2 linked regions of the Cricetulus griseus genome follow. The protein of the gene in region 2 interacts with the protein of the main gene of each other region in a biochemical or structural test. Links are inferred from orthologs where the notes say so. Each region holds a gene or a part of one and is shown on either strand. Other genes may lie near its edges.

Evidence for each region.
Region 1: the proteins of Pja1 (region 2) and Maged1 form a complex in vitro, tested with the Homo sapiens proteins (2 studies listed by BioGRID, with this or other methods). The link is inferred for Cricetulus griseus from reciprocal best matches to the Homo sapiens genes PJA1 and MAGED1.

Annotation. Positions count from the first base shown.
Region 1 is NC_048604.1:75,450,770-75,456,535, reverse strand, and holds the start of Maged1 (melanoma-associated antigen D1), read right to left. Parts: upstream 3,568-5,766; 5' UTR 3,402-3,567; intron 2,857-3,401; 5' UTR 2,828-2,856; coding exon 2,783-2,827; intron 2,088-2,782; coding exon 1,386-2,087; intron 826-1,385; coding exon 157-825; intron 60-156; coding exon 1-59. UniProt on the Homo sapiens protein: Involved in the apoptotic response after nerve growth factor (NGF) binding in neuronal cells. Inhibits cell cycle progression, and facilitates NGFR-mediated apoptosis. May act as a regulator of the function of DLX family members.
Region 2 is NC_048604.1:70,903,074-70,908,848, reverse strand, and holds the start of Pja1 (E3 ubiquitin-protein ligase Praja-1), read right to left. Parts: upstream 3,940-5,775; 5' UTR 3,842-3,939; intron 1,903-3,841; 5' UTR 1,838-1,902; coding exon 1-1,837. UniProt on the Homo sapiens protein: Has E2-dependent E3 ubiquitin-protein ligase activity. Ubiquitinates MAGED1 antigen leading to its subsequent degradation by proteasome. May be involved in protein sorting.

The sequences.
Region 1 (5,766 bases), about 4.5 Mb from region 2:
CGCTTGATGGGCACCTTTGTGTAGTCTTTAAGCATCAGGTACTTGACCAACTTATTTGCCTGGGGAGAAAGAAAGAATTAAAATTATGTTTGCAGGAAACTTGGCTGACTACAAGAGAAGGACAAGAGAAAATAAGTGAAGAGATCCAGCACTTACTCTTTCCTGAAGAAGGGCCACATCTCGGGGCTGGGGAGCACCCTGGTTCTGTGAGGCACGGGCGTTTGGGGTGGATCTCAGATTAGGTGAGGGTCGTAAGTTCTGCCAGTCAGGTGGAATCGGCCAATCGGCAGGGATCCAGTCAGGTGGAAAAGGCCAGTCAGTGGAAAATGACCAGTCAGGGGGCAATGACCAATCAGGGGGTATCTGCCAATCTGGAGGGCCTTGCCAATCTTGAGGGCCCTGCCAACTGGGTGGAGCCTGCCAACTAGGTGGGGTCTGCCATCCAGGTGCATTCTGCCAGGCCATTGGGTTTGGCCACACAATTGGACCAGGCCAGACAATGGGGTTTGGCCAGATCACTGGATTCTGCCAGATCACTGGGTTAGGCCAGATCACTGGATTCTGCCATGCAACTGGGTTCTGCCAAGCTGTTGCTGTCTGCCTAGCTGGGGGATTCTGACGTGCTGGTTGGGCCTGCCTGGCTGTCTGGTTTTGCCAGCCTGATGGGTTCTGCCAAGCCAGTGGGGTCTGCCACAGCACATTGGGGGGTGCGCCAGGTGGGTTCTGAGTGGTCACCGGAACTGGAGCAGACCTCCAGTTCCCTGAAGCTAGTGAGGCCCGCCTTTGATCCCCACTGCTGTTCTCTTCCACATTCAAGTTATTAATCTGCATCGTAAGAGAAAAGAAAATTCCAGAGTCACTATTAATCCTTGGTCCTCCCAGCAGCTAATCTAGGAAGTTCCTATGAATTTTCCACCTATAAGGACATTCTGACCCTTCACTAGTCATCGGTCACTTTATGTTTATTTTTCATTGTCTTTCAGGTGGGAGATTCATGTCCAAACCAGACCAAGAACAACCATAAAGTGGGGACTAGGGCTTCTCCTTTTCCTGTGTGACTACTGCTATCATCCTGAATTCAAGCCATCTCATTTCATCCTGTGTTTTCTCTAGCTAGTGAGGTGAAGCTTCAATGATAATTTGGTGTGAGCCAGCCTAGCTTACGACCTCACCCATGGTGTTTACTGTCAAAATGTAAAATGACCTATACACAGGTGGTACGGTGATCCAGATTATCTGTCCTTGTATAAACTCACCATCAACCTGTGGACAATCAGGGGTCAGGAATAAACATTTACCTCAACACCCCCTAAAACCTAGCCCCAATACAGGTATATGCGCCCTTTATTTTGTTTGGAGCTAAGTAAAGCTAGGAGGGATCTCACCTTGCGGGTCCTCTTGCCCCGAATTATAGTCCGAGACTCCACATTCTGAGCCTGGGAGCCATCGGCTGAGGTCTGTGCAGCTGCACCACCAGTTTCAGAGATACCTGGGCTGGTCCCTACATTAGCCATTTTGGCCTGGTTTACATTCTGGATCTGGGCATCAGCTGCAGGGACCTTAGTGGTATCATTCCAAGCCTTAGTAGCTGTCTTAGGCTGGTTGTTGATCATCTCATTGGCACTGGGAGACTGAGAGAAATTGTAGGTGGCACCAGGGCCTGCCTTAGTAGTGGTATTCTGGACCTTAAAGGCTATTTCAGACTTTTTAGCTGCTGATTTGCCTGTGGTTGCTCCGTGGGAAAAATTAGAGGCAGCATTTGGCCCTTTAGAGGTGCCATTATGTGACTTATAGGCCGCCTTAGACTGGTTCTTGGACATCTCCTTGGCATTACGTGCGTGAGAGAAATCATTTGGACCCTTTGAGAAGGTATTCTGGGCTCTAAAGCCTGTCTTAGGCCTAGCAGCTGCTGTTGAAACCCCAGTATCAGCCACCTGATTGGCAGTTGGGGGCTGTGAACTCTGGGGACTAACATTCTGCCCACTGGCAGCTGCTGTGGCCTGGTTGGTGGGTGGAGCCTCGGAGATCTGGATGGCTTCCATCAAGGTCTGCACAAGCAAGGCGCTGTCTTCTACAGAGGCCTCAGCCTGCAAATACAGGAGGGGGAATTTCAACCTCTGGGCCTTACAAGCCAGATCAGAAGGAGGGGCATACGCAGCAGGGGAGCTGTAGACACGCATCGCAGTTCACAGATCTGGGGGCACAGAAGGGTCAAAGGGAGGCGGGGTGGGAACAAAATTTGGTTAAGAATAGAGGGGGCAGGACAAGGTGAGGGCAGTCAGAGGCAGCAGGGACTGGTGAGGAACCGTGGTGCAACCACTGACCCCAAACAGGTTCAGAGCCGGACTGGTTAGGCTTGCGGTGGGGAGCTCAAGACCCGAGGAGGAGGAGGGAGGAATCGCGGAGGATAAGCAGGGAGGGTGGAGGGGGAGTCTCGCGGCGTGGAGAAAGGGAGGGTGGAGGCGAGAGGTTGGGGGATGGGGCGACAGACTGCTCTACACGCGTCAGGGTTATGGAAAAAAAAATGGTTCCTTACCCAACCCGCATTCTCTGGGCAGAATGCCCTGACTAACAGGGTCTCCCCTTTCTCTAAGCAGGGACCGATGGCTGAAAAGGGACGCCCCTCCCCCCATTCGATAAACGCTAGACATTTGAGAGCCAGCGGAGTCTAGGCCGGAAGAAGGGCAAAATCAGAGCCTGCCATTTGTGCCACCAAAGGGGCCGGGGGGTGCGCGTAATCTGTCAGCAGGGAAAATGGAGGAATGGGGAGCGGGGATCTCACCTGGTAGCCGCGGAGGCCTGCACCGCCGTCCGGTTTCTGAGCCATAGCTCTTGTGTCTCTGGCAAGAGCAGAGCCTAGGGGGGTGTGGGAGAGGAACTAGGCATTACACTACAGAAGGAAAATACGTAGGGCCGAATTGTGTGTGCGTGTGTGGTTTGATGCTGGGGGCGGGTGAGGTGCTGGATAAGGGGAGAAACAAGCCTAATCAGAGCGGGAAAAGTAAATGAGCATCCTGATGGGCAATTTAAAAATTCCAGAACCCGATAGGGAAAAGCTTCAAATCCGCGTTCTGGAATCTGATAAGAGCTCTGAATGCGGCAGTTTTCGGGGGGCGGGGGAGAGCGAGGGGGAAAAATTCGCTTCTGGAAAGTTGGATTGAGGTTCTCAATCAAAAGGAATCTATAACGGATCAAGGTCGAGAAATTTGAGGATTCTGTGAAGGAATGGGATAAGGATTCAGAGAATGAACGGGGTTCTAAATTAGATGGGGGGGGGGGTAAGAATCAGGGATCGGGTAGTGGAGGGGGTTTCTGAATCCAGGGTAAAGGGATTGGGATAAAAGAATGGGGGAAGGATGCCACACCAGGGGGCAGATGCCCAGTCTGGGGGCTAATCTCACCTTGCCTCAGGCCCCAACCCCAACCCCCTTGCTGTCTCCCTTCTTCACGACTCAGAGGATCAGGATTGCTGTGCTCGGCTCTCAGCAGCCGCACTCTCTCCTTGTCCAGGAGAAAATGCCAGCGCGGCAGCTCGGGCGACCCCGCCTCTTCGCCTAATATACCACCCACCGCCTCAGGAAGCCTCGCGCATGCGCAATAGCTAACTGTCCAAATAAGAGTCCCGCTTGCTTTCCCAACAAAAGCTTCATCCTAGAGACCTTGTCGCGCATGTGCACTTGGAGGAGATCCCGCCTCTTTGCCAACACACTATCCCACCGCCAACCAGGTTGACAGTGTACGAAGGTTCCTCCCCTTCTTCTTACGCACCCACTCCTCCAACAGATGCGCAGCGCCTTTTGGTCCCACCCCCTTGCCCAACACACCAGCCCCCTACCTTTATCCGCAATGCGTCTCTCCTCAGTCCCTCCCTTCCCCCCCCACCCAGGACTCTCTAGCCAGGCCTGCAAGTACCTCCCACCCCTTGCTTAGGGCCTCTTAGGTAGGCCTCTGCGGGGGGTCTCTTAGTTCGCTGCAAGCTAGGCCTCTGCTGAGTTCACCCACTTTGCAACGCAGGAACCTTAAAGGTCGGCCTTGGGGGGGATACATTCCAGGAGGTAGCAAAGCAAGTGCCAGCCAGGGGGTAGATTTCCTCTGACCAGACTCAGAAAATGAGCTTTTCTCTTGCCGCCCTCCCCACCCCGTTTTCTTTTTATTTATTTATTTATTTATTTATTTATTTATTTATTTATTTATTTGCAGTTTTGCCATGGAAACATTTCATGAGGTGTGGGCCAGAGAGGGGAGGGAAAGGCATAAGGGCAGTGGGATCTGTCCTGGAGCTGGTTTTTCTCGAACATCAGCCCTAGAAGATTGATGGAGGGCAACATCTTCATTTTGCATACCAGGTAGCTAAATCATAAACCCACTGTATGAACCAGGGCACTGAGCAAGTAACAAACAGAGAGGGCAAAATTTGGCACAGCACAGTGGTGCACACTGGTAATCCCAGCACTCTGGAGACTGAGTGAGGAAAGCCACGAGTTCCAGGCCAGGTGCACAACGCTGAGACTTTATCCAAAAACCAAACATGGGGCGGGGCGGGGGGGTGGGGTGCGGATTTTCCTGACTGCAAAATCTATATAGCTATTAGTGCTGGTCTGAGAATCAAGACACCCCTTAATTTTTCATTGAAATGACAATCTTTCCTCTCCCCAATATTTGTTCCAAGTGGACAAAGCCTGTGTTCTAAGAGGCCTAGTATATGTGGGAACCCTTCAGGTTCACTCTGTACTCCCGTTGGCAGGCACTTGCCCAGAGTGAGACCCCAGGACTTGATGATGCTTGCTTGAGGCCGGAGCAGTCAGGTGTGTCTGTTCTGTTCTTGCAGAATGAACCTCGGCTGGGCTTTAGAATTGCGTGATTAGTGTCGGGACTATCTGTCCCTGGTTATGTGAGCCCCTGAGAATATAGTCACTTTAGTCAACTTTGGTAAGCCTGGTTTACTGACTACCCAAAATAAGAATCACAGAAAGGGGGCCCTGTCCAAGGACACACAGCCTGCTGTGCTTCCAAGATGGCTGAAGAGACAAACGCAGAAAAAATGACATACAGATACGAAGTGACTCAAACCAAACCCATAGGTTCCCAAAATCCAAGGCAGATTTTAGCGCGTTTCCCATTTATTCTGGCGTCAGCAAGGAGCCTGCATATGAAAGAAAGCTAATGCTAGGAAGGACTGCAGCATTTAGTCCCCAAGGGCCGACATCAATTCTGCCAGGCTGGATGACTTCCCTCATCTGTTGCATAGCAACCTCCTCTGTCAGCTGCCTGTTTTTCCTCAGCACTTCCTCTGTAGAGCGTCTGCAGTGGGACGTGACCAGACTCGGGAAAGGAGGTTGAGGTGCCATTTTATGTATTATCTGCTTCCATGTCTGTGTCTTCAGTCATGACGCAGATTAAAACTTTCATACTCCTCACCTACTGCTCCCTCCCTTCTCCAGCTGAATATCTCTTAAAAGTCTCAAAATTATTATTACCAAATTTATTCTCTTGTATATATCCTCCTCACCAGTATTTCCTTTAGTTATACTCTTTTTTGCCATATTAGAACGGGGGCTTCTTTAGGGAGATGGACTGTTGTCTGTTGTATTCGTTGTTGTTGTATCCTCAGCATGAGGAACAATGCCTAGTACATTTTATATTTTCAATGAGTAATTGTTGATGAATGAATAAATCACACAGTATACCACATTGCTAAAAGCAGAAAGTTGAAAGGATTTTTTTGCTTGATAAATTCACTTATTTGTTTTTGTCATATGCAGACAC
Region 2 (5,775 bases):
TCTGAAGCCAGATGGACACACATGGCTTATGGAAATAGTGGTGGCACGGGAGCTCAGTTGCCACCTCACCCTTCACATATTCACTGCAGCAGATGGGACAGCACATTTCTTGGCCCACTGCACCATGATCTTCAGTGACCAGGATCTCAGGAAGCGCATCAATGCTCTCCTTGCTTGCAGGTGGGTTAGCCACCTCGACATCAACGGCGAGAGACTCCAGGTGCGCAAGGGCAGTCTCCATCGCCTGGGCCAGGCGCTCTTCGAGAGCCATGTAGGTGAGGAACTGAGGATCCACATAGGAGATGGCTTCTGCCACTCCCAACCCATCTGCAAAGCCATCAAATAGGCTCCAGTCCACTTCTAGGTCTTCGCTCACACTGGAGTCATCTTCCAGGTTGTTGTTTCCATCCAGCACGAACATCCCAGGCTGCATCATCTCATGGCCGGACTCATTATCCGCTTCACTGCTGCTTTCATTCTCATTGTACCGGAGCCAAGGAATTTCTCCTTCTTCCAGGGAGGCCTGCTCTTCCTGAAGAGACGGTTCTTGCACTTCTTCAGGATAGCCACTTCCATTGCTGCCAACACTGGTACTGGCAAGGCTCCCAGCTCCGCTGGCGTTCACACTCTCACAAGCTTGCTGAGGTTCCGGTTCTTCCTTTACTGGCAGAGGCTCCCAGTTTTCCCCACTGGAAGACTGGGGTTGTTCCCGATTTCGATACTTCCTGCGCAGAGCAGCCATCCATTCTTTGTCACTGTCAGAATCTTCTTCATAGTATCTGTAGTAGTCATCAGTATATGCCCAGAAGTCAGAGTCAGCCATGGTGCGTCGCCGTCTTGACACTTTCTCTGGTTTCACCTGCCCATTCCTGTTATCCTTCTTGTCTTCAGGATACTTTGGCTCAGAGGAGCTGCCTGCACCCTCACCTCGGGCTCTTCTTGCTAGGCCCTCTGCATGGGCTTCGCCAGCATCAGCACTGGCAGCATCTCTCCACCTGGGAGTACTCTGTGGTACTACATCATCATCATCATCAGTATCAAAAAATATTTTTGGTTTCATGCAGTTTGGAGTCGCCACATTCCGGACTTTTGGCCTTACCACCGGCTCCTCTGCACTCTTTGGGGAGTTTTCCCCACCACCACCACACATACTCACAGGAGCCCTGCTAGGACGTGCTAATAAATTCTGCCTCTCCCTCTCCAAGCTGTTGTTACCCCTTGCAACTGCCCTGCCTTCAGCAGAGGACATCTGAGAGGCCATACCACTTTGCTTCAAGAACTCAGCTCTGCTAGCAGAGCACCTTGCAGCAGGAGGGGGTTCTACCTTGCCAAGCCCCTCTTTCACATCATGGTTAACACTAGAGAAGCGGGGAGCTCTTGCCCCCTTCTCTGGATCATGCTTAAACTTGCCAGTTTTCCCTCTCACTGGCAGTCTGTCAACAGGCCCAGCCCCCTCCTCCTCACTATCACGTGCCCTCAGAGTGCCAATATGTCCATAAGCCAATCCTCTTCGGCTCCCGGAGGCCCTGTACTCTCTTGGAGGATACCTGGGATAATCCCCATTCTCAACATTCAGGCTGGTTCCAGAGCTCTCTCTGTCATCCCAACGACGTCGTGTGCTGGCAAATGGTGACCGGCTCCTCTTGGTGTGATTGGGGGCTGATCTGTGCATTGGGACTTCGGATGTTGTCCTTCTCTGGCTGGCAATCCTTTCCTGATGGCTTGTGGACCGCCTGAAACTGACATAAGCATGTCTCCTTCCATAACTCCTGACTGCATTGGACCGATACCCTCCTGCTGGTTTGGGCCGAACAGGCTTGCTAGATTCCTGACCCATGGCTGACTCTGAGATTCCACCAGAGCTGGGATGCAGGTGCAAAGGCTCTTGCTCCCAGGTCAGAACTACAGAATAAGGAGATCTAGTTTTCCTTCAGTAGGCAGGTAAGAGAGAGATAGGGGCCCTTTAAAATTAGTTTCACTGTCTTTTAAGGCCTGAGGTAGCATTCCTGTGACTGGTGTAGACCTGAAACACATTTTTAGTGTTTGCAAAATGATTACAGGACTGAGTTCACAAGAAAGGTGGGGAATAAGACAGAATGTGTGTGTGAAAGAGTATGTGTGTGTGTGAAAATGTGTGTGTGTGAGAGAGAGGGAGAGAGTATGTGTGTATGTGTGTGTGAGAGAGCATGTGTGTGGGGGGGCGGTGATTGAATGCTTAGAATGTAGATGTGCTGTGGAAATATGGGAAGAGTAAAGCCCGCTGTGAGCTTGGATTTTTTGGGGGGAAAGGGGAGATGTAGTTTTCTGAGAACTGCAGATATTGAGAAGAAATACAATTTAGAACAGAACTGAAAATATAGTTCACTGTGTATGCGTGCACAAGTGCAGTGTCTGTCAGGAGAGAGACAGGTGGATAAGGGGCCAGCAATCCTGCAATGCAGGGATTTCTGTAGGGGGTGGGAATGACAAGAATGGGTGGGGCAGTTTTAGAGGGGAAGGCTGTGAGTATGAGAGAAGAGAAGAGGCAGTGCTCCTGTTAAGTGTGGCAGCTGGAACTATAGAGGGAAGCCTGCATTCCACAGGCAAGGAAGTGAAAGGGTATTGGTAGCAATGAGGAAAGTGTATAAAAGTCAATATGGGAGGCAACAAGGGGCAGAAAAAAAGCACAGAGGATGTATGTGGCGGATGGAATACAGAGGCCAGCAACTAAAGAATGCTAGAATATGTTAGTATGGCAAACAGGAAAGGGGGTACTGTCCCCAGAGGATTTGTGTGTGAAGGTGAAGTATGGAACAGAGGAGAAAAGAACATTTGAGAAGAGTGTGTGAGCCAGCTTCCTATGTGTACATGTATGTAAGGAAAGCAACAGAAGGATGAAGATGTCTTTAGATGTGTGTGTATAGCAGACATGAACAGGGAGGCCATTTTTCAGAGAGGGGGAGGGGGAGGGGAAGGAGAGAGAGAGAGGGACAGGGAGGGAGGGGGGATGAGAGAGAGAGAGGGTGAGGGAGAAGGGGGTAGGGGAGGGTGGGGGGAGGGAGGGAGGGAGAATACACTCTCAAACACGGGTCAGAGGAGAAGGACAGGGAAGATTCTAGAGATAGGAGGTAGGTGAGGGGAGAGGAAGGAACTAGAGGGTGTGAGAGAGGGTGTGTGTGCTTGCCTGTTTGCACATGCGCAGAGGAGCTCTCGGAAACCTTGAGGATGCAGGGACAGGGACCAGACTGCAAAGGAGGTTTGTGTGTGCCTGTGCGTGTGCCCGTGTACGCGCACGCGCGTGCGTGCGACACAGAGGAGGGGGTGCAATGTCATAATAAGAGACAGGAATACGTCCTTAGCTCAAAGGGCAAACCCAAATCAATGTGGCAGGCCAAAAGAAAGAAAAAGGTTTCGTGTAGGAATCCTGATTTTCCCTCAGAATACTGTTTATCTTTTAGTAATTATTTTATTGAGCACATATTTTGTAGCTAAAAATCTTAGCCCTGTGCCATTATACATAACAGCAGCGAAATGGGTGAAGAAAGGCTATAGAGTGCTCTCAAAGACGCCAAGAGCATTGCAAGGAGAGACAGGTAGGAGTGGCAGAGGGCCGCGACCACCAGACCTCTCTCCGACAGCCATGAAGGCCATTCGGGCTAGGGCCATAAGGCTAGGCAGGAGCTGGGCAGCAAGGGATGCGGTCCCCAATGAGGCCACAGGCCTCGGCATGTGGTCAAGTCCCCTCTGCCCCACCCCGCTCCCAAGATAAACCCGCAAAGGGGTCATTGGAATTCTGCCCATGCCCATCCGGCAAGGCTCGCCCACCTGTCCGGGCTACTACAGCAGGCTGCCTTGCACTCACCTTCCCGGCCAGTCGCGTGCTCAGAGCTGCAGAGCCGATGGACCTTCGGTCGCCACCACCACCACCGCTGCTGCTCCGGGTCTCGGCTCCTCCCCCGCTAAAGAGCACTAGGGCAGGCGGGGACTGCGGCGGCGGAAGTGGCCGTGACGTCAGCGCGAGTCCGCCCCCTTGATGTGGCGGGGGCGGGCTACTGCCCTCTGCAAATCCGGGTGGGCTCGAAAGCGTTATTTCGTTTGAAACGCTCAGCTTTTTCAGGGACACACACACAAACACAAAGGCAGCAAGAACTGTAACAGTTCTAACAAATGTTAAACGTTTGTCACCTTCCTTCAGTTGCTTTCTTTAATAAACTGAAATCTGAACATTCTGATTAATTCTAACATTATAGTTAATTATATTACTATATCACATCCTATGTTACATGCTATGGTTTTTCTGTGGATATTAAAATCTATAGCGGTATTTAGAGTTGCAGTAGAAACATCAATTTTTTTAAGCCTGGTGTCTGAGGCAAACCGAAGATGTTTGCAGTGAAATATAGTACTGTCGTCACAAAACCAGGCTTGTCTATCCATTACATTACATGCAACACAGGTTCACATTTTGTGAATTGCAACACATTTTAAAATGTCAGAGATGGGCTGGGCGATGGTGGCGCACACCTTTAATCCTGGCACTTGGGAGGCAGAGGCAGGTGGATCTCTGTGTTTTGGAGACCAGCCTGGTCTACAAGAGCTAGTTCCAGGACAGCCTCCAAAGCCACACAGAAACCCTGATTCGACAAACCAAAACCAACCAAACAAACAAACAAATGGCCGAGTGTGGTGGCCCATGTCTTTAAACCCAGCACACAGAAGCAGGCAGACCTCTGAGTTTGAAGACAACCTGGTCTACAAAGCCAGTTCCAGGGCAGCCAGGACTACACAGAGAAACCCAGTCTCTGAAAAATAAACAAAACAAAGTAAGTCACAGATAAACCCTTCCTGAACTCTTTGAATTACATGGATAGATACTCAGATCAATGTAGAGTTCTTGAGTTCACAGTAGTAGCAAAGATTTGCTCTCAGGAGAAATACAACGTGTAGTAGAACAAAACAAAAACCCTTCAAGGGTGACAATACAAACAGTATGGGTATTTCCTATTAAAAGAATACTGTGTGACCCTGAGGGGGCAAAATCCAAAAAAGGGCAAAAAAAAAAAAAAACAACCCAACAAACAAACAAAAAACGAGAGGGTGAGCAAGAACAAAGTGTGTAGAAAGAGAAAACAACACTTAACAGTGTGTAGTATGGACTATTAACTACATAAAATCAAATTCACTCTACATGGTAGCTCATGCTTTTGACCCCATCCCTCCAGAGGCAAGAGGATTTATGTTTTTTTTCCAGGACAGTCTGGTCTATATAGAGACTTCCAGGACAGCCAGGGTCTCAAAACAAAACAAAAATTGGAGCATTTCTTTTTTCCTTCCTTTTTTTGGGGGGTGGAGTGGAATGTGCATAGGGATTGTTATAGTCATTGTCAGACAAGGTCTCATTATGTATGTAGCTCAGGTTTACCTTGAACTTTCTAGGTTATCAAGCTTGCACCATTAAAAGTAGCGATGCTAATATACAAATAAAGAATTCAAAGTAAAAAGCGTCTAAGAGAACACAATAGTCATTTCAGAAACCACAAGAGAGAATGATCACAATATTTATGCACCAAGCAGTTCAGTTTCAAAATATATGGAGCCACTGCTGTTAGAAATACAAAGACACCAGGAAGTGGACAATTGCAGCAGAAGTTTTAACTCACGATGTTTATTGTATAGACAGATCAAATGGACTTGTAAATAATTAAGGACATAGGAGACTGACCAACACAATAACTAAGCTGGAACTAATGTTCCAGCACTTTGGACTCAAGACGATGCATTTTTAAATAAAAATTT